Linked DNA regions of Daphnia pulex. The protein of the gene in region 1 binds, or shares a complex with, the protein of each later gene. Links are inferred from orthologs where the notes say so. Each region holds a gene or a part of one and is shown in the gene's direction. Other genes may lie near its edges. The genes, in order: structural maintenance of chromosomes protein 2-like and condensin complex subunit 3-like.

The links.
Region 2: structural maintenance of chromosomes protein 2-like (region 1) and condensin complex subunit 3-like share a complex: the UniProt entries of both Homo sapiens proteins name them as parts of the condensin complex. The link is inferred for Daphnia pulex from reciprocal best matches to the Homo sapiens genes SMC2 and NCAPG.

What each region holds. Positions count from the first base shown.
Region 1 is NC_060019.1:8,738,873-8,755,274, forward strand, and holds structural maintenance of chromosomes protein 2-like, read left to right. Parts: upstream 1-8,676; 5' UTR 8,677-8,790; coding exon 8,791-9,108; intron 9,109-9,169; coding exon 9,170-9,307; intron 9,308-9,378; coding exon 9,379-9,961; intron 9,962-10,026; coding exon 10,027-10,557; intron 10,558-10,622; coding exon 10,623-11,576; intron 11,577-11,661; coding exon 11,662-11,843; intron 11,844-11,916; coding exon 11,917-12,795; 3' UTR 12,796-13,457; exon of another isoform or gene 13,458-13,528; intron 13,529-14,010; 3' UTR 14,011-14,295; intron 14,296-14,360; 3' UTR 14,361-14,733; downstream 14,734-16,402. Other genes in the region: protein diaphanous-like, read left to right, coding at 1,523-1,702, 1,920-2,021, 2,134-2,330, 2,421-2,730, 2,863-2,973, 3,089-3,217, 3,293-3,399, 3,478-3,608 and 9 more. UniProt on the Homo sapiens protein: Central component of the condensin complex, a complex required for conversion of interphase chromatin into mitotic-like condense chromosomes.
Region 2 is NC_060020.1:456,371-472,791, forward strand, and holds condensin complex subunit 3-like, read left to right. Parts: upstream 1-1,310; 5' UTR 1,311-1,804; coding exon 1,805-2,338; intron 2,339-2,401; coding exon 2,402-2,562; intron 2,563-2,628; coding exon 2,629-3,079; intron 3,080-3,145; coding exon 3,146-3,436; intron 3,437-3,498; coding exon 3,499-3,741; intron 3,742-3,807; coding exon 3,808-4,053; intron 4,054-4,117; coding exon 4,118-4,242; intron 4,243-4,312; coding exon 4,313-4,565; intron 4,566-4,647; coding exon 4,648-5,210; intron 5,211-5,266; coding exon of another isoform or gene 5,267-5,271; coding exon 5,272-5,692; 3' UTR 5,693-5,806; downstream 5,807-16,421. Other genes in the region: uncharacterized protein LOC124193140, read left to right, coding at 1-77; mitochondrial 2-oxoglutarate/malate carrier protein-like, read left to right, coding at 6,073-6,128, 6,195-6,431, 6,499-6,589, 6,653-6,776, 6,863-6,952, 7,015-7,114, 7,186-7,417; solute carrier family 25 member 36-A-like, read right to left, coding at 7,876-7,912, 7,974-8,377, 8,464-8,579, 9,363-9,541, 9,721-10,014, 10,635-10,675; uncharacterized protein LOC124192580, read left to right, coding at 14,261-14,338, 14,429-14,484, 14,554-14,607, 14,682-14,865; protein PXR1-like, read left to right, coding at 15,426-15,467, 15,904-15,996, 16,059-16,203, 16,270-16,421. UniProt on the Homo sapiens protein: Regulatory subunit of the condensin complex, a complex required for conversion of interphase chromatin into mitotic-like condense chromosomes.

The sequences.
Region 1 (16,402 bases):
GGATGCGTGAAGAAGAGACAGGAAGAAGAAGAAGTAGAAGGAGAGAGAAAAAAGCCTCAAATAATAAAATGAAATGAAATAAAAAGAAAGTCTGTTTATGGGATGGAACTGTGCGGGCCGATGATTCTCTTCTTAGCAGCCGCCGGCGAGGCCAGTCAACGCAGAAAGACCATTTTTATTTTCCGTTTCTTTTTCAAGTATTTTAGCCTTTTTTTTTCGGTCGTGAGCGCGCGCGTGAACGAACCGCGCCGCCTCTTCATCCCGGCCGGTCCTCACACTGGTGCTGGTGTTTCTTTTTTTTTTTTTGTTCGTTTCTTTCCTTTTCGTTTGGTTTTTTGGTCGTGTTGATGTTGTTATTTTTGATTTAGGAAATGGGGGGAGGTTGAATTGAAGAAAGATGGAAATGACGAAATGGGAGGAGACAAAAAGGCCGGCGGTTGTCGGTCCATCAACGGAGAAAAACTTGACGTCCCGTTTAGTACATTTGAGGTCTGTGTGTGTGTGTGTGGATCGCGGTCTGGGTCATCACCTGTGCACCGCGCCGACGTCGTTTTCCAACTTTTGTGGCTTTCACGACGAGAAGAAAGCCAGTCCCTAGACCTAATCGGTTTTGGGACGTTGGCCTCATCTCTCTATCTATCTATCCTTTTTATTTTTATTTTTCCCCTTCCGCGTCTGTACCGACGGGACCAACTAAGGCATACACACTGGGGCGTGTGTTCATTGCCTCGTTTCTTTCCTTTTTTTTTCTTCTTCTTCTCCCATTTTCTATTTTCCATCCAGCGGGATAGTTAGTAACGCAGTGGAGAGAGAGTCCGTAGCCAAAAAGAGCTCTTCTTATATACGCTCGGAAAATGACGATGCGAACAACAACAAGAGGAGGAAATTCGTGGCCGACTTCTTCTTCTTTTTTTCGCAAAAAAGAAAACACATCCCACCATCAACCAATTGGCCCAGCTCGTAGATTCGACATATTTTTCAGTCCCAATCTGACTCTTACATCTGCCCTCTTATGTATGCGGGAATTTTGACTTTTTTCTTTCTTTTCTATTCGTCGGGGTGTACTACACACATAAAACGATGCCAAATATGTGGCCAGTCTGTTGTTCAGGACATTGTTTTGACCTCCTTTTGCCCTTCTCCCGCCTCTCTCTCTTTTTTTCAGACTCTGGGGCCGTTGCTGCTGCTGTCCGATCTCTAATTAAAGCGACGGCACGAACCCCATGGTCATGCCAGCAAAGAAAACAAAACCAAAAACAATCTTTATACTCGCCCGTTGTTCTTTGATCGCTCGCGGAGAAAGGGAAAGGGCGAGACCGGCTTTTGATGTGGATTGCTTGATTTGATTTGATTTCCTTTTTAGCGGTTTGGCTGGGGGTTTTCTTCCTTTGAAAAATGCACTACTTGTCGTACACTCGTTTTTGGTGTTGTTTTGACGTAATAAAAAAGCCCGTGGCCTCATTCTGATTCTGTATTGCGTAATGACTGATTGACTATTTTTGGTTTTGTACTTTACTTTCAGCTGGACAAAATGGGCTTCGGCTGGAACAAGAAGTCGGGACGGGGACAGATGAGTGGCGCCCCTGGCACACTCTCACGTCCGCACTCTGAGGTCGACTTCTCCGAGATGGACGAAAACGCGCACATGGCCGTCGACAATATGAGCGAAGACGAAGTTAACACCGCCTTTGAAAAGATGTTGGTACGTCCTGAATTTTAAACAAATACAACAGCGTAAAAAACATAAAAGTAGTACCGTGTTGAACCAGAAATTCATAACCTCCTTTCTGGTGCCGCCCGGTTTTTATCTAAGTTATATGATTCATCTCTTTATGTTATCTCCGTCATCTCTAATTATGGATGTTTTTTTTGTTTTTTTTTGTTTTTATCTTTTCTTTGTGTTGCCTGGCTGTCTGAAGGATGACATGAACTTATCAGAAGAAAAGAAAGAACCGCTGCGATTGCAGCAAAACCATCGCAAAAAAGAAATGTTGGCCATGCACATGAAGGGCACAGTCCAGGTAACAATTTTGAGTTTTTTTCTTACCTAGTCATTCGACACATTCTTTTCCAATCACAACAACAATCGATATCCTCATTTTCAATTTCTTTCTTGCTCAAATGTCCGTGCAGAAACACCGGAATCGATTCGATACGCCGCAGGATTACATCGTCTATCTGGGCAATCCGGACCTGAGCGTCCACAAGATTTACACGTGCATGGAGTCGCTGAGGATCGCCCTGACCAACAACCCGCTCACCTGGGTCCACGACTTTGTCTGCGAGGGTTTGAATCAAGTTTTGACCATCCTCAACGAATGCTATAGAAGGTAGAGCGTAGGCGCTTTGCATTCAGCGACCGGCTGTTTATCTCTCGCCCCGTATGGAAATGTTTCTCAACTCGTGATATGATTATACAGGGACGCGAGATGGGACAGGGTCCAGCACGAGTGCATCCGCTGCCTGAAAGCCATTTCCAACAACAAAGTTGGCTTGAAGAAACTGTTTGAGCACCGCGAGGCGCTGACGCTTCTTGCACGTTCTTTCGTCCCGTCCCTGCCGGCCGTGATGGTCGAGGCCGTCAAACTGATGGCCGGTATCTGCTTGGTGCCGCCGGAGGGACACGAGCGTGCTTTAGAGGCCATTACCACCAGTGGCGAACTCAAGAGCATTTTTCGCTTTCAGCCCATTATCGAAGCCCTGTCCAACATGGAGAATGACACGCTTACGGTGAGCCAAACGGGCCGGAAACCCAACCTTGATTATCAATCCACCGTGACTCAATGCTATCACTCACGCACTCCTTCCACACTTTCACATCGTTCATATCTCAATTGATCAAAATCTAAATATTTTTCAAAGGTGGCCTGCGTCCAATTGATCAACACTATCGTCCTCACCCCCGATGATTTGGACTTCCGGCTGCATTTACGTAATGAATTTATGCGTGTCGGACTCGCCGACCTCCTTGACGTAAGGAAACCTTTCAACCACCGCACCGCCCAGTGGCAAAAAAAAATCATTATTTTCTTAATTTATTCATGAATAAATCATAATTATAATCTTTTCTTACATCCGGCTTTAATAGAAATTAGCCCAGAGGGACTGCGTTGACCTGCAGTTGCAACTCAAAGTGTTCGAAGAGCATCGAGATGAGGATTTCTATGAATTTGCACAGCGTTTTGACAACCTACGCCTGGATCTCGACGACACTGTGGTCAGAAATATTTTCAACGCTAGAAAAGGATCTGGAAATGCGAATCATAACTTTTGTTTTAAATTCATTCTTTAGGAATGTTTCGAAGTGCTGCGCAACTCGGTCGCCGAAACGCCAAGCGAGCCGTTCCTGCTGTCCATTCTACAACATTTACTTTTCATTCGAGACGACCCCAATGTCAAGTCAGTTTCACTTGTCACCCGCCGACAGAATTAGATCGCGTGTTTTATTTTTGCCGTTTCTCTTTTGCCATTCTGCAGGGTTTCGTACTACAAACTGATCGAAGAGTGTATTGCTCAAGTCGTTTTACATAAAAGCGGATGCGATCCGGATTTCTCCGCCACCAAGCGATTTCAAATTGACGTCGAACCGCTGATCGACATCCTTTCTGGTGCGGATTAACTTTTGACAAATGTGTGTTTCGAAAGTCGAGTGCTAATTCATCATTTCTAGAGCGCGCTGCCAAGGATGGAGAGCCCAGGGTGGATGAAGTCAACAAAAAGCTGGAGGAAGCCCTCACGGCGAAGCAGGAATACGAAGCCAAGTTGGCGGCTGCCAGTCAACGGATTGCGGAGTTGGAGAGTTATTTGGGAGGAGGCAAAGGACCCGTTCCTAGACCCTCTCCACCTCCTCTCGCCATGTACGGCGGTGCTGGACCTCCACCTCCTCCAATACCAGGTGGCCCGCCTCCTCCCCCAATGCCTGGAGCACCACCTCCACCCCCAATGCCCGGCTGCCCGCCTCCTCCCCCAATGCCCGGCTGCCCGCCTCCACCCCCATTGCCCGGCATAGGTGGGCCTCCACCACCCCCTCCTCCTCCCGGAATGGGAGGAGGACCAAGACCTCCACCTCCACCCGGTGGTATTCCAGGATTTGGTCCTCCACCTGGAATGCCCGCCACGCCACCCAGGCCGGATATTCTTCCGTTTGGAATGAAACCAAAGAGGAAATGGCAGTTGGACATGCCTCTAAAACGAACAAATTGGAAAACGGTATAGTTGATTGACCAGGAACTTTAGATCGTGACTCATATGCATGAACTCATACTGGAATGTTTTTGTACTCAGATTCAACCGCAAAAACTCTCCGAAAAGGCGTTTTGGGTCAATGTTGAAGAGGATCGGTTGGTATCGCCCGATCTCCTGGAAGGGCTAAGCGCTAAATTCTCTTCCAAACCTCCCGCCAAGAAAGCAAGAGAAGGAGACTCGGACAAACCAATGAGTAAAAAATTCAAAGAACTAAAAGGTATTTCGACAGACAGAGTTTCATGTTTATTGTCCCGACTATGATCAGATACTCACCAAAGGCTTGAATGTTTTTGTTTTAGTGCTCGACGGCAAGTCAGCTCAGAACTTGTCGATTCTTTTGGGCGGATCTCTCAAGTACTTGAGTTACGATGACATTAAACGGGCGATTCTTCACTGCGACGAATCGGTGCTATCGGACAGTGTTTTGCAGCAACTGATTCAGTACATGCCCACACCCGAACAGCTGAAAAAGCTTGAAGAGTACAAGGAGCAATACGATAGTCTAGCCGAAGCTGAACAGTTTTCCGTTACGGTAATCCATCGTCCTCCAAGGCGTCTGCCTTCAGTCCAACTTTTCCCAAGTGTTTTTTTTTTTAAGTCTATTTTTCTTTCTCCGACTGACAGTTGGCAAGTATCAAGAGGTTGGTGCCGCGCCTTAAATCCATCAGCTTCAGACAGCACTACAATGAAATGGTCCAGGACATTAAGCCAGTGAGTTTTTGATTGCAAATGACAAACAATTGGGTCTGTTTATCCTTCATGTCGTATTTCTTCGCTAGGATATTGTTGCGGCTACGTTGGCTTGCGAGGAGATCCGGGACAGCAAGAAATTTGCAAAACTTTTGGAACTTGTTCTGCTAATAGGTAATTACCTGAATACTGGAACAAAGAACGCTCAAGCAGTCGGTTTCGAAATTTCCTACCTTCCCAAGGTGAGATTTAAAAAAAAAATTACCAAGCATACAAATGAAAGCAGTTCATTTAAAACTGATTCGATTGTGTTTCTAAATTAGTTGACGAGCACAAAAGACGCCGAGAATAAAACAACGTTGCTTCACTACTTGGTGGACGTGATTGAAGAAAAGTTTGCCGACATCCTTAGCTTCAGTGAAGAGGTTCTCCATGTGGATCGGGCTTCCCGTGTCTCGATGGATACAATCCAGAAGACACTAAAGCAGATGGACAGTTCAATCAAGAACTTGGAGACTGATCTGAAGAACGCCAAGGCGGCCATATCCGACGAAGACAAGTTCTTGGAAGTCATGGGCAATTTCGCCCGGGAAGCTCGGGACCAGTGCGACGTCCTCGTCAGAATGGGCAAGAAAATGGAGTCTGTCTACCACGAATTGTCCGAGTACTTTGTCTTTGATCCGCAAAAGTACACGTTGGATGAATTCTTCACCGACGTCAAAACCTTCAAAGATTCCTTTAATGTAAGTTTCTGTTTGTTGTTTTTGATGATGGAACATCCGGATAAAGTATCGTGTTAACCTTGAAACTTTTTCTCCAGCAATGCTATAAAGATAATTGCAAACTGCGTGAAACGGAGGAAAAGATCCGACGAGCGCGCGAAGCCAAGGAGAAAGCCGAGCGGGAAAAACTCGAACGCCAAGCCAAAAAGAAAGCGCTAGTCGACATGAATATTGACGACGACCAGGAAGGTGTCATGGACTCGCTGCTGGAGGCTCTGAAAACGGGTTCCGCTTTCTCCAGAGATCAGAGACGGAAACGGGATCGACCCCCTCGTGCAGTCGGAGGTAATTAACTAATTATCGTTCATCACGTTTTGTCATCTCGTACAAACATCGTAGAACTTGTTTCATTATTTGGCACGTACCAAAGACACCAGTCCGTTAAGTCGGTTGTAGAATTGAGCGAAGAAGGTTGTCTAGAATGTGAGTTGAAGCGTATAACATAACATTTCGTTTCCATATCCCCAAAATTCGTACGTTGCTCTCCTTTGCAAATCCTGTTGGCAACGGCGCAGACCGATCCAACCGAGTTCACAACGGGTAAGAGATCCCCAGTTCAGTTACTGCAATCTAAAAAAGTTGGAAATTTGAAATGACATGACCGCTTCCAAGATGATGGCACGCCGTAACCGAATTGCTTTGGATTTTATTTCCCTCCCCCGCCACTTGCCGGTGTTTGGTATAACTTTTTTCGTGTGTGTGTGTGTGTGTGTGTGTGTGATTTTTTAAATTATTATTAAGTTTTGCTGCTGACTACCCGAAACAGTTTTTTTAAGGTATACCAACATTGATTTAAAAAGAGAAAAAAAAAATAACGCGTTCAAAAAGTTGCTGCCTTTAAACTTTGTTAACAGCTTCGGACACAGTGTTCATTTATTTATTCACCACAACTCATCGTTATTTTTTTTAATCCGTTTGATGTAATCGGCTTGCAAACCATTTTTATTTGCATGGGCTTTCGACAAGTGCCTTTTGTTTGTACCGTCTAATGATGATTTTTTTTTAAATTGTTTTTGTCTTCGAGCAGCGGAGCGCCGTGCACAAATGAATCGCAGTCGGTCCAAAGGAGCGCTACTAGAGTCCCCTTCATCTCGGGAAATGAAAGGGTATTGAACAAATTGTTAGTCATTTTCCGATTGCATTGTTTCTGATTTTGTATTGATGAAAACAGGACATTCGGTGACGAAAGACCTCCAGTTCCTGCCATAACGGATGACTTGACGGATGGGCTAGCCATGAAAGCGCCTCGCCCAAGAAAAGCGCGACCACCGCCCAAGTTTGACATGGCTGCCGAGTTACTAATGAGTGGAGGCCGAGAGAGGGAGGTGAAGCTCAACAACGGAGGTGGATACTTAGCTGCCGCTGATGACGGATCAGAGGCAGACAGACTGATGCAACGATTGAAAGCCCTTTAACGAAACCTCACCCCCTTTCCCAGATGTACTTGCTCCATTCCACTATATTTTGTTCCGAAATCTGAAGCCCATAGACGTGCCTTGTTTGTATTGTACAGTATGTTTTCCATGAACATATCTTTGCGCTTCAGAATATGTGCCATTACGTTATATTCACCGTGGGTTGCTATCATTCCATTTCCATGAGATCTTCCAAAGGGGTAGAATTCTGGTCTGTGGGCGTTGTGCTTTTCTTTTGGGACTCGCCAGTCATCTGTTGTCCAAGCAGTTGATTGGGAAAGCCCAAAGTTTGTCAAATTGGCCTTTTGGATTTTTACATTTGTCACCCAACGCTTGATGGATCGTGCTGACATTTGTACACTGATGAAATGTGCCTGCCTCGTTACATTGTTAATTACGCCTTGGTTTGAGGCATTCGGTTCACATCGATTATCCTTTTGTTTGCCTTCTGTACTAAATAATATGACTATGACTTAACATGACTGTCTGTCTGTGAGAGAGAAGTTTGCAATTCTGTTTGCTATCGAATTTATGTTTAAAAAAGAAATTTGCATGATTCCATGTAAACACAATCGTGCTGATCGTAAGACCCAAGGATATACTGTATGCCCTTTTTTTCTGCTCAGCTCCTTGTTGTTAATTCTCACCCTTTCTCCTTCACGAGCCGAAGCAAATAGTTTTATTTATTATTTTTGAACACTTTGGGCTATATTTATTCTTAGATAACAACTGAAATTTTCTTGTAAATAGATATGTACAGTTGTGTCTGGTCGTAACAAAAAAAAATTGCAATACAAGTGGGACAATGTTCCGTGCTAAAAAAAAAGGAAAAAATTACAAGTGAGCAATTTTGACTAAATTTTTTAAACATTTAAAGGACATAATCTGACGCTGTTTTAGAATCTAACGATTTCTAGGTTCTTGTCGTTGGGTTCTTCGTTTCTAGGCATCCTCTGGTTGCCGTTGGTTGCTCTGTGGTTCTGGTACTCTGGCCAGAGCCACAGTAGCATCACGATCGTAGCATGTAGCATCGTAGCATACTATCTCTCTCTGCTCTGAGTGTGGGGCCAGGTGGGGCCGCTGGCTTCTCTGGCTGTCAGTGGACCAGTGGACATGAGTCGGCAGTCGCTGACTCGCTGTTAGGGCTGTGGCCCGGACGTTTTTTAGCGGTTTTTTTTTTTAAATGGGTTTTTTAGATGGGTTTTTCTTCTTCCGCGGGTTGGGCCAACAGAGTAAATGGGTTCGGCCCGGGCCGACCCATGGGTCAAAAAATTTTTACCGGCCGGGTAAAACGGCCCGGATAAAAAATCGGGTCAAACACACTTTTTTTTTACAAACTTAAAAAAATTCCCTAAATTTCTTAATTATCTTCATCTTCCAACAGTGACACGTCAATTCTGTCTTCTGAACACCCCTGAACGCCCTTTTCTACCACTTATCCTACTTTTCATGCTACGAAATTATCGTGCGTTTACATACGCATCAAGTGTGGTGGGAAAAGGCTTCTTTTTTTGAAAATCCAATCCAGAGTATTTGAGGGTTGAAAGCATAGCCTACGTAAGTTATGCGTTGAGCCGTTGAAAGGAAAAGGAGAAAACAGCGGGAAAAGACGTTGAGTGGCTGGCAAGCCGTGATCAAGTATTTTTGTGTTTTAAAAAATGTACATCAAATCTATGGTAGTTGATGGTTTCAAATCCTATGGCCAAAGAACTGAAATCAATGGATTTGATCCAATGTTTAATGCCATTACAGGGCTAAATGGTAGTGGTAAATCTAACATTCTGGATGCTATCTGTTTCCTTCTTGGCATCACAAATTTGAGCCATGTAAGAGCAACAAATTTGCAAGAATTAGTATACAAAAGTGGACAAGCAGGTGTCACGAAAGCCACTGTGACAGTCACCTTTGATAACAAAGACAAAAAACAAAGTCCAATTGGCTATGAGCATTATGATGAAGTTACAGTGACTAGACAGGTATTGTTATTTATGATTTCATTATGACTAGGATATATAGTCTATGTTTCCATATTTTCAGGTTGTCATCGGTGGAAAAAACAAGTATCTCATAAATGGATCAAATGTTCAAAACAACCGTGTCCAAGATTTTTTCCGCTCTGTGCAGTTAAATGTCAACAATCCTCATTTCCTTATCATGCAAGGAAGAATTACTAAAGTATTGTGCTTAACTCATTCATCAATTTGTGGTTGCATTTCAGTGTATAAGTATGTGTTTTCACATTGCAGGTTTTGAATATGAAACCCCCTGAAATATTGGCCATGATTGAGGAAGCTGCAGGGACCAGAATGTACGAAGCGAAAAAGCAACAGGCTTTGAAAACAATTGAGAAAAAGGAAGAAAAAATCAAAGAAATCAATGACATCCTTTCAGAAGAAGTTACGCCAACATTGAACAAACTGAGAGAAGAACGAACTCAGTACCTGCAGTTTCAGAAGTCCGAACGTGAATTAGAACACTTGAACCGCCAATATGTAGCTTATAGATTCCTCAGCCTTGAAAAAGCTAATGCCCAAGTAAAGGAGGAATACAATGAGATTTTAAAAGAAAAGACAAATCATTGTGCCACTGAAGAAAAACTCAAAAATGAAATTGAGGCACTGGAAAAAGAAATTCATACTCTTCAACATCAGAGAGACCAAGTTGGTGGCAAAGAACTTACACAGCTTGAAGAAAAATTGCGTGTTCAAGAAAAAGCCGAATCGAAAGCCCAATCAGCTGTTAAGGTGCTCAAGGAAAATATTAAAGCTGAAGAAAAGAGGAAAAAAGAGCTGAAGAAAAGTCTTGACGACGACACCGCTGCTTTAGAAGGTAAAATTTTAACTTTTATTTTATATATTTTCAGTATTATAGCGTATTTATATTCATCGGAACAGGCAAGGAGGTAGAAGAGAGTAAACTAGGCGAGACATTTGAAAAATTAAGGCAAACTGAACAACAGGATAGTGAAGCTTTGACAGCTGCCCAAAAGCGCTTCCAAGAAATCAGTTCTGGTTTGTTGGCCAGTGACAATGGTGCTGCGGCCACTTTACCTGAAGAACTCATGGCCACGCAAAAGAATGTTGCTCAAGCCGAGTCGCAGTTGAAGCATTCGGAAATGACAACCCAACATCTAAAAAAAGAGCTGAAAGTTAAAATTAATGAGATGAAAAAGTCGGAGGTCGATTATAAAAAAGATGCACAAAACTCTAAGCACCTCGAGAATGAAGTTAAGAGACTGGAAGCCGAACTTGGGCAGGTTCACTATGATGAAGAGAAAGTAACTAATTTAGAGCAGTTGCAAAGAAGCTTGAAACCGGAAATGCATTCGCTGCGAGAGAAAATTGAATCATTCGAAGCTCGATTTCCTCAAATGGCCTTTCGGTACACCCCTCCTGAAAGGCAATTCGACGCATCTACTGTGAAAGGTTGCATTTCTATAGTGTGACTTTGTTTATATTTCTTTTCTTAACTTTTTTTTCTTCGTGAACAGGTGTGGTGTGCAGTTTATTTGAAGTTCCAGATATGTCCTACGCTACTGCTCTAGATATTACTGCTGGAGGTCGGCTATACAACATAGTAGTCGACAGCGAAAACACGGCAAAAAAGCTTCTTGAGAGAGGCAAGCTCCAGTCACGTGTCACATTTATCCCTCTCAACAAAATTGAAGGCAGAACCATCGATGAACGGACTACGGCAACTGCCAAAAGAATCGTTGGTAAAGAAAACTGCCATACCGCAATATCTTTGATTGAGTTTGAGAACCACTTGACGCCGGCAATGAAGTACATTTTTGGCAGCTCCTTTGTTTGTAAGGGTCTAGACGAAGCTCGACAAGTTACGTTTCACGATCAGATAATGCGTAAAACAGTAACTTTGGAGGGGGATGTCGTTGATCCTGGTGGTACTTTAACTGGTGGCAGTCGAGCTTCTGGCCAATCTGCTATTCTCAGAGTTAACGAAATCAAGCAGTACCGCAACGAATTTGAGGCAAAAGATCGTCAACTAAAGGAAGCGGAACAAGAACTTCGAGTTATGGAGCAGGCTTCAGCACAGTATCGCACTCTGAAACAGCGTTACGATGTGAAAAAGCACGAATTTGAATTGCTCCAGCAAAGGCTCCAGCAAACGCTTCACCACCGCCAAACTCAAGAAGTCGAAAATATGAAGTCGGAATTGGAATCAGCAGAGCAAAAGGCCCTCGAATGCACCGACATCATTAAAGAAGGTAAATCGCGCATCAAGGAGTTGGAGAATCAGTTAAAGAATGCCGGTAAGATTCGGGAAACTCAGTTAAAAGCAGCCCAAGCTGAATTGGATCGTTGCAAGAAGGCGGCAGCTGCTTCACAGTCTAAATGGAAGGAACATGCAAATGATGCTGACTCGCTTAAACTAGAGTTGGAGGAACTTCGAAAATCTATTGAAACTACTGACATTCAATTAAAAGGTAACGACATACTGTTTCTGTTATTGAATTGTATGTTTCAAAATTATCTTTGCACTTTTTATTAAATTTTTTGTTCTTCATCTAGAGACTGAGATAACACTAGCCAATTTACATGAAGAAATGAAAGTGTTGAATGAAGCTCTGGCAGTTGAACAAGCTAATGTACAGGAAGTCAGAAAACAAATTGACGAATTTAAGGCACGAATTTCAGCTCAAAATCAAGAAATTTCCAAACGAATTGCTGGTAAAGAACAGCGCGAAGCTCAGGTTGGCTTTTTTTTTAAATCCCAATTTACAATACTTCATAATTCTAATTAATTTCTTTATTTTGAATGCAAAGGTGAGTGAAGGTGAACTGCACTTGAAGAAATTGGAACATCGGCTTTCCAAAGCAAAAGATGACGCAAAAGATTCCGAAAAGCGTGTTGACGCCATGCTCGAAAAACATGCTTGGATAAACGAAGATCGACACCATTTTGGAGTAGCCGGGTCTAATTATGATTTTAACGTCATTAATGGAGCAGAATTGGGACAGCGCGTTCATAAATTAGAGGAATCCATGAAAAAGCTTGGTCGCCATGTCAACGTTCGTTCCATGACTATGTTGACACAAGCAGAGGCGCAGTATAATGACTTGATGCGGAAGAAGAGGATTGTAGAAGAGGATAAGGCGAAAATTGAAAACGCAATCCTGAAGCTGGACGAAAAGAAGAAAGAAACTCTTCAAGTGGCTTGGGAACAAGTGACAAAAGATTTTGGTTCTATTTTCTCTACCCTGTTACCCGGAACCAAAGCAAAACTGCAGCCACCGGACGGTCAAACAGTGCTAGACGGTCTCGAAGTCAAAGTTGCTTTTGGCGGAGTATGGAAAGAGAGTTTATCGGAATTGAGTGGCGGTCAGAGATCCTTAGTGGCTTTGTCGTTGATTTTGGCTATGCTATTATTCAAACCAGCGCCTATCTATATTCTTGATGAAGTAGACGCAGCCTTGGATTTGTCTCACACTCAGAACATTGGGGTGATGTTAAAGCAACATTTTAAGCAGTCGCAATTCATCGTTGTATCTCTGAAAGACGGTATGTTTAACAATGCTAATGTTCTTTTTCGCACAAAATTTGTTGAAGGTATGTCTACGGTCAGTCGATTGGCTCAGCAACAATCGAACTCTCATGCCCGCCCAGCGGAGGAAGAGGAAACTCGGCCTAAAAAACGAAAGTAGACGATTATGTATCAGAAAGCATTTGTAAATCGTACTTCATCTTTTCTGAAGCGTGAACCTATTAAGTGTAATGCGTTCGGTAAATAATAATTCAGTCAGTTACTAAAAATGAATCAATCATTCGTAGTTTTCCTTTATTTTGCGTAAATTAAGTAATTTTACTTGTAGGCCTATTAGTAATTCGCATCTCCATGTTCACTTTCCCAAGAAAAGCAAAGCGATTGAAGTTTTTTCTTATGTTGACAAACATCAGCTTAACAAAAACGACACGACACAGTAATACTTGTGTATTACACATACTTGTGTAATACTGACGATAAGTATTCCACCAAGAAAGCTCACTTGTTAATTTTTCGATAATTGCTTTTTTTTTAAATGTACTAAATGTATTTCACGGAGATGACGAATATTTGATTATTTGGTTTATTTTTTTTTTTTTTTCCGTCCATGACTCTAGTCGTCCGTGGTTGCTAAGGGCTGTCACTAGGTGGCTAAATGTTTCAGTGTGTTTAGGGATTGAACTATTCAACTCTAGTGTGGGTTTCCAGAGGGATGTAGGGGGGTGGGTCACCAAACTGTCAAAGTGCTGAGACGACTTACTAAGCAGTATTTCTTTTGCTGTCGAGACGCTGTCCGAGAAGGTTGAATATTGTCCTTGCTGGGTACTTTCTTACATGACATTTTTCACCCCAGACATGGTAATTCCATCTTTTATTCTTTAATTTTATCAAATGTAATTTTTTGTGTAGTCATGTTAGTAATTATGTTGCCTAACTTTTTGATTCAAGACTTTGTTTCTGAATTAAAATTTTGTGACTTTGTTTCAAGTACTAATTGAGTTTTACTATTCTATTAACTGTTCAGTAGTAAAGTCTGAGCTTCATTGGGTTTTGTTTTTCAAATTGTTTCAATTTCCAGTTGAGTTATGCCAAGAGCTTTTGCAGACGTTCACTTAACTTGTTAGAAAACTTGAGTGGGTTAGCATTTTGCCTAAATGTGAGTCTACGTGAAAAGTATGTGCTACACATGTGTTTTTGTGAGAAATTGGGTTAGACATTGAATTCTTGATTTAGATGGCGTTTTACAACAAATTGTGTTTCTATATAAGAGCTTTCGTGAAAAGATTTGCTCAATAGAACTGTATTTTTTTATAAAACAGAAATTTGCCCTTTCTTGTATTTGAAAATGTAATTGGTGTTTTCCTTTGATTTGTAGGATTTCTTGGTTAAAGTGATGTTGGAGCTGCTAATGGTGTTGATGCAGTGTTCATGGTGTGAGCAGTGGTTTTGCAGTCATTTTTCAGTTGAGATATCTTGAAATGGAGCTTGTGCAGACATTCAGTCCAACATCATACTTCAATGTGTTATTTGCCCATGTTGATGTTTTTTTGTTGAGCTGTTGTGCAAAATAGTCGGTGTTGCCTGGTGGCTGTTGGGCATGTTTTATCGGCTGCCTTTTGTCGATGTGTCGTCGTCTCTTGCCACCTGTACACTCCTTAAGGTAATGCTTTATGGGTAATTTCATTTAATTATTGGCTTGAAACAAATTTTTTCGTTCTCGTTCAGTTTAATCGTTCGCTGCCGTTCCATCGACTTGATCCATTGGTGAAACTGAGATGAGGTTGCAGAAATTGAAATGAGGTTGCAGAAATTGAAAACTGATACATTATTAGATTTAGACAAATTAAAAATGCATGCATGTTCTCCCTTTTCCCTAAGTAAACTGTTTCCGCCGTTGGTTATTCGTCCGGTCGAACGGGAAATAGCAATGAAATGATCTGATGTAATTTTGGAGAAAGATTAGTTTGACCACGAAGTAATTCTGAAATTCTCCTTTATGATTCGCGATTAACTCTACCTCATTTATATAACCATCTTAACTCGTTGCTCTACATATGACCATAATACTGCTTACAATAAAATATGAAATCAAATTCAATATTTGTTCTTTTTGACATGCATACAATAATTAAACGTTATTGCAATATTTATAAATAAATCAATAAAATATCCTGTCCAAATTTTTATTATTTTTTTCCGCTTTATAAAAACAACCACCATATTATTTATTTACTAAGTCTTTTTCGATAAAAATTGGCGATGTCCGATTATCCCTTGTTTTTTTATTTAGAAAAGAACAATTGTTTTTAATATATATTTTATTATTTTATTTTTTACAAACATAACCACATGTATATTTTATGGCCCCCAGGGAGGGGGGGGCCTGTGACTTTCCCAACCGCGATAATAACATGTGCCGTTATTATTTTGTTGGTGCAGAAAGCCGGAATTTAATCTAGCAGTTGTCGACTGAGTCAAACCTGACATAGATCAGGTTGCCTCAATCGTATACTGCACAATAAAAACGCCAAAGACGACAATGGAACCATTTCAAGACTGCAACACAGGAAATCACTGGTAGAGCAAAAAAACACGAATGAGAAAAGATTTCAAACACAGGATAGCATTGGCAGAGAGAAATACACAAATGCAAACAGAAAAAATATTTAAAGTCAGCGACCCAGATATCACTGGCAACTTCAGGCTAGTTCAGGATACCGCCAGCACAGCTACTTCTGGATAACACTGGAACCACACGCTGCATACAACAGTTCAATTAGTCTCCATCACATCTTTCACCACCTGGCTGCAACAAGGTAACCAACAGCGGACCTGTTCAAGAAAATTTAAAAATTACCATCGGGGAAAGACAGTGTGTGCACAATTACACAGGACTCTTCATGGCAAAAGAATACCAGGAGTAAGACAAAGCTACGCAGTCCAACAGATCTCTCCGATATCTCAAATTTTACAAAGGAAGTCATAGTTGGCATCAAATTGCAAATTGATCTCTAGTCATATTAACAAAGTACTTTAGTAGGAAATTAGATAAAAATAATTACTTTTGCTTTTGCATGGCACGAGACATACGACTGGGTGCAGGCAGCAAGACGCACGAGGCACGACATTTCGGCAAAATGGACAGGCTTCCGAGTTAGATTGCTTAACAAAGTGGTATTAAATCACCTGTCAATTTACACATCGAAATTTAACATTAAGTAACCCTAAGAAATTAACAAAAAATACCTTTACATTTTCATCATGGGAAACGTCACGACAGCATCCCACTTCTCATTCGTCAAGGAACAAAATGGCCGAAGACGCTCAAGCCACCTAGCGACAGCCAATTGGATTGCTTCCTTGCAGACAGCAAGCAGCAGCTAAATTTGAATTCCTCACGCCTTTCACAAGCTGGCACGAAATGAATCAATTGGGGATGGATTACTCCAGCAGCTTTCCCTATGACACAACATACAAATGATTTAGTTAGCTATTTCAGACTATACTTTTTCAACATCAAATGTAATTATTTACAGAAAGTATGGGTATGATAGCAGCAGAGAATTGGATCTGGGGATGTCTTCAATATCTTGAAGATTTACTATGATTTAACACTGGAAGTTAACCTGAAATATTATGTAAACATTAAATGACTGTAGAAACTATTTAGCTTTGGAAGACATAGCTTACGTTATTGGATTGGACCATTTGATCTCTATATTGTCACAAGCACCTAGCTCAAACATCAGCTGAAATTTCTGAAAACA
Region 2 (16,421 bases), on another chromosome or scaffold:
TGGACCAAGAAGAGACAAATGTTTCAACCAGATATAATGTGCACAAATTATTGTCTTTAGCTGAATGTGGTGTTTGAAATAACAATGACAATTTTGTTTGCATACAAGGAGAACCTCGTGATACGATTTCTTTTATTTTTCATATCCACTACATCATATCTTTGCCATTTGATGTACATATTTGTTTCCCACTATAACGCAGCCAACTTAAATTTCTAGACGGGTTGTTTAAGGAGAGTGGTGTAACGTTCAATCTTTGATGCCAAACTCATGTCGATGTAGCGATCTCCAAGGACAACTACAAGTCCACCAACAATGGAGGGATCCACCTTGGTTGAAATCTTGAGACTGTCCTTTCTGGCTTCTGCAAGAATCCAGAAAGAGCGGCAGTAACCTCTTTCAATGTAGCAGCATCCAAGGCCTTGATATAAGAATAGATTTTTTTAAACATGTAATTGTTTAATTTTTTTTAGATTTATATTTTACCTTGGCTGAGGTGACCTCACATACAACTTAACCTCTGAATGCAGCCATCATGTTAAAGAAATGGCCAGTGACAACATCCAATTTGTTAAGTCTTCCATTCTCAGCAAGGAGTTCTGTAATCATAGCCATATGAATAACAATTAGAATAAAGTGAAAACCAATAGAAAATAAAAACTTACCAAGGAAGTTGCCTGTAACAGCACTCATTTTCAATTTCTTGGCAACTGAAATAAGAGCATCTTTCTTAAGTGATCTCTTCAAAGTGGGGTTGGCAATGAATTCTGCCAAACGAGAATCTTTGGCGATAGTTGCATGAAAGTCCTTCAACTCGCTTTCAACTTTGTCCAAAGATTTCTGTTTGGAAGCAGCAGAGTAGAGTGCTGAGGCATAGCGACCATACAACCCAAAAACTTGGACTGGAGCCTATAACAATTACACAATTAGGTTAAAATGTACCTGTACCACACTCACATGATTTACCTTCACCAACTGCTGGGATGATGAACTGGTGCTGAAGTTACGAGCCTAATAGTTGGAAAGTAAAAACATTCATTGAAAATAGTACAACATTTTATAAATTACGGCAAATTAATTTAGGATTGTGCGAAAACAACCGGCTATTCAAAATCGAATACGGCTTGAAACTTAGAGGTTTGACAGTTGGATATTTCTACCTTTTTATTATGGAAAACCTTTTATTATTGTTTTTCACTTCTTGTAGAAAAGTAAGCTGTGATTGGCCAATGAGTTTTTCATAGACCCTTCCTGATTGGCTGGCTTCACGTAGTAGCTGACACACTCACTAGAGGCGCTCATCCATTTTTCCCAATCGGCTTACGTTTACCCTGAAACCGGGATAGGGAAGCCAACACAGCCATGAACTGACCAGGTATCTATAGCTCTGATATTAAAAAAAAACCTGTCACCTTGTTTTATTTCGTCTTACTCGTCAACGTCGCATCGTCTCTCCGCTTCAAAAAAGTTTAAGCGGCCGTTGAGAAACGTCGTACTCTCGTTATTTTCAGAAAATTTTGTGATTTCAGATAATTAGAAGACTGATTTTTGAATTGCTCTATAATTTTCCCAATGCTTTCTACAAAATCATTGGAATTGAAAGAAAATTTGTCGAAGCGGAAATCGGAGGTTGACAAGTGCACGATACCTCCCAGCAAGGAACCTCGCATTGAAACAGAAACAGATAAGGGCAAAGAAGAGATCGCTAATAGTTTCAATACTTACCAATATTGGAAAGATCCGCTTCCTGACATCAGTTTTGAACTTGGTACAAATATTGTAAGCCCAAGGCAGGCTGAGTAAAATGGTAGGCAACAAACACATTGAAGAGATATTTACCAAAAGCCAACATTCCATTGCTGATCACCCCAAACTAGTAAAGAACCTTAGAAAAGTCTATGACCAAATTGAAGATGTAGATTCTTTTAATCAACATTTTATTAAATGCTTCAAGTGTCTCTTGATTCATGGAGAAAGGGAGACTGCTGTTAACTTTTGTTTAGATTTTGCAGCCAAATTTGCAACATCGTTTGAACTGGAAAAAGATCCAGAAGATGAAGATGGTGAATGCCACCCTTTCTATGAAAAACTTTTTGATTTTCTTTTGTCCCATCACAATGTCAAGAGCCAGGCTGTTCGATTTAGAGTGTGCCAGTTCATTAATAGAATGCTAGAAGAGTTGAATGAGTCTGCTTGCATCAGCGCAGAACTTTTTGAAAAAATTTATGATGCCATGCTTGAAAGAATTCAAGACAGAATTGCCTCAGTTCGGGTCCAGGCTGTCATTGCCTTACAGCGCCTGCAAGATCCTACCAACAAAGAATGTCCAGTTATTAAGGTAACTTGGCGTTAAAAATGTTTTTACTTTTCTGTATTTAAAAAATGTTTCACCCTTGTACAGGCATTAGTTTTCCATTTGGAAAGAGATCCTCATCCCGAAGTACGTCGAGCTGTACTTAAGGCACTTGGATGCAATTATTTTACGCTCGAATTCGTTTTGGTCAGGCTGCGTGACGTCAAAGACCTTGTTCGCAGGCAGGCCTATATCTTCATTAGTGAGAGGTATGTGGAAGAATAAACAATAATTGCATGCTGTCTATTTTTATCTTCATTTATTTTCATTTTTAGAGTTCATGTCCGAACATTATCAATTGCCAATCGTGTGACAATTTTGAACCTCGGACTCAACGACAAATCAGCTGCTGTGACGACCATGGTGCAGGACAAACTTATCCCTGCCTGGATCAACGCCATGGAAGGCTCCATCTTCAATTTCCTGCGTGGTCTTGATGTGGAAGGCTGCAGCGATACTGCTGTTCAAGTCTTGCAAGTTTGGTTGAAAACGCTCAACTACAAGGAGATAACATCTCAGTTGCCTATTGGTGAAGAAAATCTGGTTAGTATCGAAGCGTTAAAGCCAGAAGTGGCTCTTTATTGGTGCACGGCCGTTTCTTTCCTGCGAAACGAGGGAGTTCATGCAGCAGATGCTCTTGAAACCATTATGCCAGAAATGACAGCGTTTGGGAAATATTTGAAAATTTTCGTTTTGGCAAGGCTTACCGAAACCGACGACATGGAGGTAAAAACATTGTATTTCCTAAAATTGTATTCTTTCGTTAAAACATGTCATTATGTATGCCATTAGGTATTGAGTATGGAATTTATCGTTGCCAACTTATTGGAGATGGCACAACACTTTGACCTTGCGGATGAAGCGGGTCGCTTGAACTTGCGACGCGATCTCTGCGATCTTTTACAACACGAAAAGACTAGCCCAGCATTGACTCGTACCATGGTCAAGTGTATTAGTCTGATTGAGCCCAATTTGGATGTTCGCATCGCCAAATTGCTTGAGGTCATTTCAGAGCTGCGAGAGCCACTAACTCAGGCGGAAGTACTCATTCCAGAAGATCAGCAGCGAAGAAACAAATTAGAGGTGAACTGGCTTATTGGATCCAAAAGAAATTCATTTTTTGATTCATTATTATTTCTGAATAGATTGCTCAATGCCGAGTCCAGGTGAACGAATTAAAGGAAGAATTGCAGGAGGCCATTGACAAACAAAACTTTCTTGGTGCCCAAGAGATTCAACAAAAGATGGTCGTTTTGGAGACGAAACTAAGCGAGTTGTGCAGTCGGCCCACCACTCATGACGTTGAAGTGTTCCGCGAAGAGAGAGATGATCCCTTAACACTACTAAAGTGTCTCAGCACCGTTTGCGAGCTGCTAAAAAATTCGCCGGTATATTTCATTCTTATTTTTAAAAATCAGTAACATTGCTGGTTAGTAATGATTCTTTTTTATTAGATGCTTAAATTGACGAAAGAATTGGACCAACTTTTAATGTCTCTGATCTTGCCTTGCGTCGAGAGAATCGATCCAGCTGTCCGAAATGCCGCTTTCGAAGCTTTGGGTTGCCTGTGTACTTGCGACTTGGAACTGGCCCAACAACGTTTGCTCTTGTTTGTACAAGCAGTTCAGATGGATCACCAAATCCTTCAGATCACAACAGCCAAAGTTCTCTTTGATCTCGTTCAATTATTTGGTCTTTCCGTGAGTCATGCATTACTCTTATTTTATTCATCAAGAAACTTAAATCATACATGATTCATTTCAGACTTTTGAGGACCAAGAGAGTGGTACATCTCTAGCTACAGTGCTGACTGATCTGTTGGATAGTGAAGATGCAGATGTTCAAACAATTGCTGTCGAGGGTTTCGCTAAACTATTGATTGCTTCCCGGTATGTATTTTTGAAATGTCAGTAAAATTTTTCCTTTTCGTTGTATTAATAACTTAAATGTGACATGTAGAATTGAATCGTCCATGATTCTTTCGCGCTTGGTCATTTTCCTGTTCCACCCGCTGACGGATGAAAACGTTCGTCTGCGTCAAGTCCTCCACGTCTTTTTTCCTTTCTTTGCTTCCATGGATATTGCAAACCAACAGCAATTGGAGGCGGCTTTCGTACCGACTATCAAGACCATTCAAAAGGCCCCGTGTACTTCTCCTTTGGCGGAGATAGACATTTCCATGATCGTCAAATTCTTTGTCGACTTGACACAGGTAACTTAATGTTACAAGCCTTAACATGAATTACAAATATCTTAATTACAAGTAACCTAATTTTGTTATATTTGCTATTTAGGAAAGTTTATTAGCCGCCAAGCCTGAGGTCGATCACACCATCCACGATCAACTCGCTATGAAACTTTGTACTGAATCGATGCGATCTCCTGATACGAACGAAAGTAAAGTCTACCTCAAGGCCTTGTTGCAGTTGAACATGTCGTTCTCCAATCCGTCAAACACTAAAGACTTGCACACTCTTATCCGGAAAATGCTTCGAAATTTCAGAGAGAAGGGTTCCATCAGAATGATTGAGCAATTTGAATCTATCGTAGAAAAGCATTTGACGGCTAATGCGGACTCGGCCAAGTCTGCTACTGAAAACGATTCCGATATGGAAGTTGAACCTGTTATTGCTCCCCCATCTCCTCCCATCAATAAGCCAAGAACAAGAAAATTAGGAAGTAAACATGCAGCGACTCTTTTAATGGATACTAGTAGCGACGTCGATGTCTCCCAAAGTTCCGATGTTTTCTTCAGCCCAGAAAAGACAAGCACTCAAAAGGAAAAACCTCGTGAAAAATCACCCGAGGTTGTTATTGAACAAATGGATGAGGTTGTTATTGAACAAATGGATTTAAGGTGATTACATATTTAATTTCGCTTTCTACGTGTTATTTTCATCAAATTTTCGTTCGTTTAGTTCGACCACAAACAGCGAGAAAACTGTACCTTCAAGAACTCGACGACAGGCTCCACGCAGCGTTTCCGTTGTCGCTGAGGAACGAACAACACCTCCTCCTTCCTTACCTCGTCGTAGAACACGATCGACTAGATCAGTCGTTGTTTCCAGTGTCGACGAGGACAGTGTTCCCGTTGACGATGGGGACCGAACACCTCCTTCCCCACCTCGGCGTAGAATACGATCAACGAGATCAGTTGTGGTTTCCAGTGTCGACGAGGACGGTGGGGAACAAACAACTCCTTCCCCACCTCTGCGCAGAACACGAACGACGAGACCAGCCGTGATTTCTAGTTCCGACGAGGATGAAGATGTTATACCTCCGACCCCACCTCCAAATAAAAATACTAAAAAGTCGGCAAGATCAACCAGGAAGCGTTGATAAAACAAATTTTTTTTTCTTCATTTTTCTATCATCTTTTTTTTTCTCCTTTACAATTTTACTTACTTTCCTGTAAGAGATATTAATACAAATAAATTTCGGTCACTTGAGCAATTCCAGAATGTTTCACTAGAAAAATAACTCATTTGTGACATTGTGTGACATTGTGAAATTCAAATATCATACTGTGATATGCCGGTAGATGTCTTGATCAACGATCGCTTCTGGATTTTTGATCACAGATCACTCGTCTGTCTCTGTAGGCTACGGTCTCCGGTGTCTTGTTTTGAGAGCAGACTGGAGTACGTGTTTAAATAGTTTATTCGTCATTCCTGAGGGTTTGTTTAAGTTTTAAACAAGTATATCCCATTAGATTTAAAATGGGTGAAGCTCAAATGCCAAAACCAGTTAGGTTTGCTATTGGAGGTTTGTCAGGGTAAGTTGTTACAGTCTTACTTTATTTATATATAAGTTTTATTAACAAGGATTTTGTCAATTTTAGAATGGCTGCCACATTGTTTGTCCAACCTATGGATCTTATTAAGAACAGAATGCAGTTGAGCGGTGAAGGTGGCAAAGCCAAAGAACACAGGAACACTTTGCACGCAATTAGATCCATCATGATGAAAGAGGGTATCTCTGGCATGTATTCTGGTTTATCTGCAGGCCTTCTGAGACAGGCAACCTATACAACAACTAGGCTGGGAATTTACACATGGCTGTTTGACACCATGAGTGGGTTAGTAGGACTGTGACCTTGACAAATGTTATAGTTCAATACATCTATATTGTTTTTTTATTTCTAGTCCTGATGGAAAACCACCAGGTTTTGCAACAAAAGCTGTGCTTGGAATGGCTGCTGGAGTTGTAGGAGCATTTGTGGGAACCCCAGCTGAGGTAATTTTAGTGAAAAAGGGCACATGGTAACAAAAAGTTACCGGTATTCATTACTTATTATAGGTTGCCCTTATTCGTATGACAGCAGATGGAAGACTGCCAGAGGCAGACAGAAGGAATTACAAGCACGTCGGTGACGCGTTGGTTCGGATGGTCAGGGAGGAAGGATTGGTCACTCTCTGGAGAGGTTTTTGCAATTTCCTTTGGAAATTTCCTTGGAAATTTCTCTTCCTTTTTGAATTTCCTTTTAAATCTCCTTTGAATTGATCGTAGGAGCGATCCCAACGATGGCTCGGGCAATGGTGGTAAATGCCGCCCAACTTGCTTCCTATTCTCAAGCTAAACAATCTCTCATGTCAACTGGTCAGTCTAGTCTTTAACGCCCACATTTATAGCGCAAAAACTAAACGGCTCTTTTTCTCTAGGTTATTTTAGTGAAAACGTGATTCTTCACTTCTGGGCTTCCATGATCAGTGGTCTAGTTACGACAGCCGCTTCTATGCCTGTCGACATTGCAAAAACTAGGTAACTACGTCGTATTATCATCGATTAGTATCGAAAGATAAGAGAAAATAACATTTTTGGCATTGATTCAGGCTGCAAAATATGAGGTTCATTGACGGCAAGCCAGAATACAAGGGCGCAGTCGATGTACTGGGTCGCGTCGTACGCAACGAAGGAATCCTAGCTTTGTGGAAGGGATTCACGCCGTACTACGCACGCATCGGACCGCACACAGTTCTCACCTTTATTTTCCTCGAACAGATGAATACGTTTTACAAGCGAAATATTCTCGGTCTCAAGGACGCCAAAGGAGGTGGCATTTAAATTGTCTTGTCAATAGAGAGAAGCTTTGGTAGAAAATCATCAAGCCTGATATTTAGTCTGCAATCCATGTTGTCGACACGTTAAATTGGTGACTGTGAATGTAATTTAGGTGGATTTTGTTATCAAATAAAAAGGTATAAAACACATATCGATTTTGTAAGACAACTTTATTAAGAATTACTCCAAGTGTGTGCTGGAAGCACCCTTTTATACACTTTAACAAATGAATTCGATTGCGCAAAATAACTAGTGAATAACGAGTGACTAGTCATACTGTACAAGCTCTATACACGTTTTTTTTTCTTTTTTCTTAAGTTAAAAAAAAAGGCACAATCTAAATAGTCAGAATAACTATCACAATTCGATATTTTGCGCGAAAGACAAAGCTGATTAAGAAAAAGGGGTTTGGGTGGGAGATTACATGAATGAAGACTTTTGAAAACAGCGACGGCAGTTCATTATTCCGAACCAGTGTACCGCTTTTCGTTTACCAAACTAAAATCGAAAACCGGTTAGTTATTAAGAATATTATGATTATTCTAATTATTATTTTTACCTGTTGAGCACGTAAACTGTGGCCTCGTATGTGGTCATCATAATGGCCGTGTTGGGAATTTGCCGGATCAACTGCGTCGACAGTCCACGATAGAGCCCTCGATGTCCCTCTTCGCGGAAGACTGTGTGCAACGTTTGAAAAAATCCCCTGTAACGTGAATTCTCTTCACGCAGCCTGGTCCTAACCACTTCATGCGGATAGGACACACAACAAGCCACCGTCTTGCTGATGGCTCCTGCTAGCATGTAGTCCATGGCTTGGTAGTTGCCCAGTGGACTGTCCGTCTGCGTTTCCCGCATCTGTTGCAGGGTCGATTTCAGGTACTCGTAAAGTACAAACTTAATTATGGTCTCTGAGATACCGAAATATGAGGCTGTTATTCCTCTGTAAAAGCCAACAACACCCTAAAGAAAAAAGAATTCCAAAATTAGATTGGTGGCGCTGGCTGAGCCTGTTACGTAACGTCACGACGAATTGGTTTCCAAATTACCTGACTACGATAGATGTTGGAAATGCACTGCCAAGCTGTGACGTTTTGATTGCGATTGAGCTGCAGACGTGTCTTGACGAACCAAATTGGATTGGTTAAAGTGCACGACACAAATCCTGTGGAAACAGGAAGAAGTTAATAAAAAACGATTAATTTATGGATCTGTTCAATTTGCGAATGACGTACTACGTAGGCCACAACGAGTTCCTTAACCGTCCCAAGGACGAAACGGGAAAATGCGCCATATCCGCGAATGTTAGAAACGGGCTCTATAGGTAGACTACGTAATAATGCCCTCCTTCCCGCCCGGAGTGGATTTTGTTAACTTATTCAAAGTCTGGGCGAACCTTGGGCAGGAGCACGGCTTGTGCACGTGTTCCGTTTTTAAAAATACACCAGACCATTCTTCCAAGGAGGGGGGAGAGAGAGAAACGGCAACTGGGCATTCGTTACGTGAATCACGTAGGTAAGTGGAGAGAGAAAAAAAGACGGCTGAGCCAACCAACCGGACAAGTCTGGTTTTTTCACCCTTTGATGCTGACCCGCATACGAAATTAATTCAATTATTTTCACATAGAAAACCCAGGGTGAATCAGCTAATACATTCTTCCTAATGACTTTGTCTTCTCTTCCATGCATTCTTTTTAAAAGGAATATATAATTTGTGCAACGTCATTTTAAAGCAAGTTTTAACCCCCCTCCCGACTGCCAGCAAGAAGTGAATTTTGGGCTAAATGCCAAGTTGGTTATTGCGTTAAAAAGTGACAACTAAAAGGGAAGAGAACAACTAATACAAGGACGTCCTTCTATGTCTAACTAAAGCGATATGGGCGAAAAACCGGCCTCGACTGGACAGAAAAGAGAAATTTTGCGCAACTAGACGTGAGGGACATATTTACCTGCAGAGCCAGCCGAGAGCATATGGACCAAGTGAGAATCTGGAGTCATGATCTGGTTGAATTTTCGTTTGGCCGTTGAATAGGTGCAAAAATATAGGGCTCTAGTGGGGGCCACTCCAATCAGGTTTGGTCCCAAACCTTTGAATAGCGCCCGGCATCCTTCTTGGTCGATCAGGTGCCTACGTGAGAAGGCAAAGAATTTGATCAATTAACCGTTGTTCTTATCGAAATCCACACCTTATCTCCTTTTTATAGTTCTAGTTTTTATTATCGTTTAAATGTATATATGTAGAGCAAACAAACAAGTCAATTAAAGGATTAAATATTCCGTTTGTTTCATAGAATTCCCTTTTCTTACCGAAAACAAGAAAGGGCTCCTTTGGGTTGGGCGGAAGACGCCGGCCAAGGGAGGACGGCTTCAGGAAACACAGCCAACCTCGAATTGACGGACGAGCATTGTTGGTGATGATAATAAACGTTCCAGTTCATTTCTGGAGTGAAATACATGTGATTGGCGCTGCATCCTGCGTTGGACGAAGCTGTTCGCAGGGAGCGAACTGCACTGTAGTGGATTTCAGAGGAAGACGATTGCAGGCGAGTCTTGATAACTTCAAGTGGGCACGTCACTATGGCTCCCACAGTACCACCAACCCTACGTCGTCACAGAAAAGAAACATTAAAAAATTGAGTCCTAGCAACGAGAATGGGTCAACGAGTGCGTTGGGCTAGCCAAAAATGTCGCCTCTTAAAATACTAACTTCAAACAAATGCCAACTTGTCTTTGGAATGGTTTAGTAGCCTGCAACTTTCAAAGGGAAAAGTTGCTGCAAGGATTTGAAAACTGAAGTACGTATATTTTAGAGTTCGATGGCAAACACACTAGGATTCAAATTACAACATCTGGCTCAGAAGAAAGCCATTATTTTGGAATGCACAAACATCCCTCACTGCTTAAATTCTAGTTGTGGAGTGGACCAACTTAGGAGGGAAACTGAAATGGAAGATAACGAGAAGGGTACACTGGGCAAGATAACTGATGCAGGTAAGATAGGTTTTATAGGTTAAATGAAAACCATCTCCCTCACCCAAGTTAAAACCCAAGGCAACATAATGTAGTATGTAGTTTGAAAATTTTAATCCCTACCTCCCTTCTGACTAAGACTAAAGGAAGGGATGTCGGTGTGTTCGGCGTAATGGCCAAAATGGTTTCTGCCTAGTGGGGGGAAGAAGACGAAAAATGAACCGAAACGAAGAAAACGAAAAAAATCTTACCCGCCAGCGAAGAGATGGATGAATGTATCTGCATTCGACATAACACGTAATGCAATTGCACATCAATTAAGATGAAAGTAATATTTTTGTATAGTTAAATGTTTACCAAGACCAACCGGATTGGCCGAATTGTAAACATAAGTGTAGTTTGCTCTAAAGATGACGGAAGAATAAAACAAAATCCAACACGAGTTCGTTTTCAGCTGCTGGCCTGCTGCTGATCTGACTGGGATAGGTAAGGGAAATGGGGGTAGGGGACGGCGAACCAATGGCTCGTTCGCTATTGGGTATCTAAGCTACGACAGAGCCACCTAGCGCCGCGTGATGGAAAACCCAACGACGCAATTCCCACAAACACGCTTGTTTGTTTATCGGCTTTTCAGATCGATCAAACAAGAGCCCTCGGGCAGAAAAAAATCTCTTCCAAGTCTGCAGCATTGAATTACACACTCATAAAATCTGATACTGTGTCCTGTTTCATAAGATCTGATTATCCAACCTATTTCAACGTTTTTGACTTTGAATCGCCTATTTCCAGATTTGTCCAAACTTCTGGAGAATTTCCATCTTTCGGATGGCTTCCCTGGAATCACTTATGGCTTAATGGAATTTCAGGAAATATTTCAGGCTCTACCTACCCTAAAAAAATACATAAATTCTATTGATTGAATGATTTCAAAGTAAAGGGTGGAGAAAGGTAAAAGAAATCTATTGCGCATCAGTCAATATAAACATTGATTGCTTTCACGTGTCCTATCTCGACCACATTTATAACCACACAGCGTAGTTGGATTGCATATAGAATTCTTAATCACATGTCGGGGTCTCGTGGACTCGTGGTTAAAGTTGATAGAAAAAAAAATTTCCAGATAATAAAAAGGACTAAAATAACTTTTTCACAATGAGGCTAAAGCTCCTCTTCCCGGGTGATGACATTTGAATTGTTCATGAGGCTCTTTCTTTTTTTCAATTTTCCGTTAAAAAAAAAGAACTAATATTTCTGAAAAATGATTTGAATGTTTGACAGTAGACCCAATCAAAGATCCGGCCAGTCACAGGATGTGAAACCCAGCCCACAGGATGTACTAGTCTCAACCCAGGATGTGAAATATTTCTATGAACAATAACACATGTGTCGTGTTATTGTTCAAATGGAGTGCGTGCGAGAGGGATAATAATAATAATAATAGCGTGTCGAATTGATATTTGCAATTATTTCGGTATTATTTTCTAGGAAATTTTCGCCACGTATGCAAACTTTCCCGTTGGAAATGTTGGCTTTCAAGCCGGTCAAGGCGACACCGGTTGTCTCAATTTTTGTACTTTTTTTATTATTTTTATTATTATTTTGACAGTTCAACTCGAATGTCACCACCAGTCACATTACGGATTAACAGATGGCGCGTAAGACGGTGCGCGTGATTCAAAGAAATCATCAGTTGAAGATCTTAGATCATTCACGGCAGATCTCATTCATGATACTGTAAGTAATACAGGTAACTGTATATCTATCTGATTGGTGATGAATCTTATTTTTAGTTTAGTTTGGTGTAGCGACTGATTGAATGGTTCGACGCCGTTGTAGTGATTCCCGAGAAACAAGTACATTGACGTTCGAAGAAGCCTTATAGTACATGGAATAATTTCTTTTTTCAACTCGTCAACAGCTTCTTTCATTACTTAATTGAAAACGAAACCTATGCGAGTTTGTCGAGATAGCAACAATCCCCCGCTGCTGTCAGGACGATCCATCCAATCCATCAAAACCCCAATCCATCAAGGACTGATGACTTTTATCGGCACACACATACTATCAATGGCAACGGATGCGCTCTGCGATGATACTATTTTGAAATAGATATTCGATTATATACGTAGTAACATTTGGTTGTTGAGTAACAGCCCCCGAATTGAAATTGCTTACGCATCAGCTTGATAACCGAAACCGCCATAGTATACTACTACGCATCTATTTTGACCTATGGAAAAGGGCCTGATCTTGACCCATAATTGGATTGGGCGGGAAATGACGTTTCTACTATCCATTTGAATAGATATTCTCATCTATAGTTCCTTTCTTAACAAACTTACACGTGTGCGGGCGGCCATTGTGACATTCAATAAGAATTATAACTTTGTTTTGCTGAGCCTCTACAGCACAATTCAGTCACTGCGCATTACATATAACCGATGGCAGCTTAATCCCTCCCTCTATACTCTGTTTTATATAGGCCCCTCCGGGTGTAATCAGCTGGATATTCGATTAAGGTTAACTTTTACAACTACAGTGGGCATTTATTGATGATGGTGTCGGCGGTAAAGACAAACACCCTCGCAATCCATTACTCTGGATTCGTTTTCAATCGGATGAATGGAGCTGCGAATCAACAACACAAATCCTAAAAGGATTATTTCAGGAAAAATGATGCGGAGTTGATGATGACGTCAGTCCAGTTTTTAGATTTGGTTCAACATAAAATTCTATTTCTATTTATTCTCAGTAACTATGCACAAAGCGGAAATCCAGTCTGGATTTTTGATTGCCTCTTTTAAAAAAATGGTCCGATCTTTGGTAGCCATTCATCAACTAGTCGAACCATGCATTATATAAAAACGGGTTTTTATTATTCTAGTAATTTGTATTACTTATCTAAAACGGAGACACGATAAAAGAATATATAGGACCTATTATTTTTACTGTTTGCCCCTTATATTCTTGAATTTCCAGTTTTGGGTTGAAGAACATTTGAAAATAGGCTTACGGCTACTCGTGATGTGATTGCGTCAGCCATATCTTTCCCCTATTTAATCCTACCAACTGCTGTTGGCTTGACGTTTCTTTTTTCCACGGCGCAGTTAAGGATTTAACTTATATAAAAGACGACGCATATAGGGAAAATGTCTTCTTTTTACTAGAATGTTAATACAAACATAAATCATTTCGCTTATGACCATTATTAAAAGAAGGGGGATTAGTAGGGGGGAAAAAGAACTTTTCCAGCTAATGACCACCGGAAGCGGCAGCCAAAGGTTTTTTTTTGTAAGGCTGTCGGTGTGCTGAGGTCAAATGAGACGAAGTATTTCCAAAAAATCTTCTTCGGGATAAGAAGATCAAGCAATCACAATAGAGAATGTGTTTAGACTTATAAGTTAAGGAATATATCTCAAAATTTAGGCTATCCAGCAAGTGTTGTCCAGTATGTCATCATATTCTATACTTTTCGACTTTCCAAATACCGCCGAGTAGCGCTTATTTACGTACTCTTTGACCGTGAAGGAAAAAAGGTATATAATGTGAAAAGAGAGAGGCTTTGGTATAGCATTTTGATACCTGTAGTATTTATCTGGGTGCGTGGGTGCCTGGGAATTGGGAAATAACGTATAGCATGGCCAGACGAGAGTGGTGGTGCCACCGGCCACGAGCATATAAAAGGGAACGTTTCCAGTCGTAGCGATTCCATTCAGTCGAACTCTTTGGTTCAGTCGAGTACCAGCACGCATCGTCTTCGTCTATTCAGAATCTACCCAGCAGCAATTGAGCAAGATATATTAGAGGCTACACGATAGCTCCCTTTGTATTTCGTTTGAACAAGAACTTTGGACGAACGGATCAAAAATCAAACAACATGAGTGCTGCATTTCGATTGGCTCTCTTTAGTTTGCTGCTTATCATCCACTCTGCTCGACCCATGAGTGTCGCCAAGGTTGTAACTAACGGTTTCTATATTACAATCAATCGTAGACTATATTAGCCATAAATTGGGAAATAATTGTTTTTCTTACTCTCTAAATAGAGGCAGAGTGGCAACAACGGCCAAGCAACGCTATGCGGACTCCACACTCCCTGCGGGTAAGTCAGAACATTTAATATTCCCTATTGAGAAATTCGTGATTTAATTTCGAATTGGTTGGCCTTCAGTTGGGGAGTATACAATTCAAATACACGCCAGATGGACTATTTCGTCCGAAACATGTAAGGTTCTATTTTTATTTGTTAACTTTGATTGGCCAATTTTTCATGTGGAAACATTTTTTAAAATTAAATAGCTGCACGTGCAACCGACCGCAAGAGCGTTGCTTGCGTGCGGGCGACGATGTATCCATCTCAGCTTACGTCTACCGTTGCGTCCGGAGTCGAACTTCTCCACTGGCCGGAGGCAGCGCTTCTGCCGTCGGTGCCGGAAGAAGCTCAATTGATACGGCGGCCAATTTGATCGACATGAAATTGTGAACATTCAACAAATACAAAAAAAAAAAAAAGTGAAAAGAGTATTAAAAAAGAAACGAAAAAATGTATGCGCAAAAAAAACCCACCTACTTAAAAAGCGAACAAATGGCTTTTTTTAAAAACCTTCATACTCACTTTGATTTTGTTCCTCTGCGCGTCAGTGTTTATTATATCTTATTCTGATCCTGACAAACCTTCTATTTATTTGTTTTGTTATGCCATTATTAAAATTTCCCTATATATTGACAGAAAATTTCGTTTTCTGGATATTACTTTGACCAAACAAACGTAGAATGACTGAAAATATACTCGATCATTCGTGGCAAAAAAATAGCTGTTGATTATTTGAAATTTCGTGAATTTCTTCCAAAAACAAAACCAATTATAGCGATCTGGCATTGTTGTCAAAGATGGCGTTAATCACGTGACCATGCAAGCTTAGCATCAAAAGCGTCCTCTCTGGTGTGTCTTGTTTACTACCCCGTGTTCGCCGGTATTGGCTTGGATTTCTCACTTTCTCACTTTGAAATATTCGTCTGAAATCGGTTGGATTAATAATCAACATGTCGAGTGAAGTGGCCGAAGTCGTGAGTGAAAACAACCAGGTATGAAAAATGAGGGAATTGAAATTTCGTGTGGCAAATGAATCGGAAATAGGCCTAAGATTGAGATGCTGCCCTGGGTCTCTGGGGTGGAGAAAGCCGTTGACGACCATACATTATGCCTTGGGCCTTTTGGGGGATTTTGTTTCTCTATCGTTTATGACATCTGTAATCCGATTATCAACGTTTACTTCGAGTTTCGGTTGAAAAATGCTTTTCTTGTTTGGATTTTCAAATGTTTTCAAAGAAATTCCAAGTGCACGCTTTGTTTTCTTTTCAAAGTGGGGAGTTTGTTTATTAGATATGTGTGGCGTCGGTTGCCAGCATCCATTGACGTTCGAACAGACTTTTGGCGGGAAATTATTTTTGCGACCAGTTGCGACGCCACGCGTAGTTGAACATGGGAATTTATTCTTGTGTTATTTGATCTTTTCTTAAGCATGATGCTGCTGAAGCCAAAGGAAAAAAAGGTTTGGGGAAGAAATTAACTGCCCTGGAACGAACAACTCAAGAAGGAGAAGCTCTGCTCAAGGTACCCACTTGCACATGTTGATTGTTGTCCGTTTCTAATTTTTGATGAAATGTTATGTGTAGGAGATGGGATACAAAGAAGATGGTGAAGACCAAGGCAGGAGGAGAACGAGATCTGGTGCGAGGCCAGCTGCTGTTGCGTCCCCACCCCCAGCCAAAAAGGAGAAAAAGACTCCCAAGAAGACTCCTAAAGCTACACCCGGTACCGGTGAGTGGCAGAATTGATTTGCCGAGTTGTACAAAAGTACTGATCCTTTTCATTTTCCTCTTTTAGGTCGCAGAGGCAGACCCCCAAAGAAGACAGTCAACGACAGCTCAACAGAAAATGAAGATTCTGAGGTGAAGGAAGACGAGAAGGCAGAGGAGAAGGAAGATGAGAAGGAAGAGGTCAGCAGCACAGAGGAAGCCAAAAGTGACACAAAACCA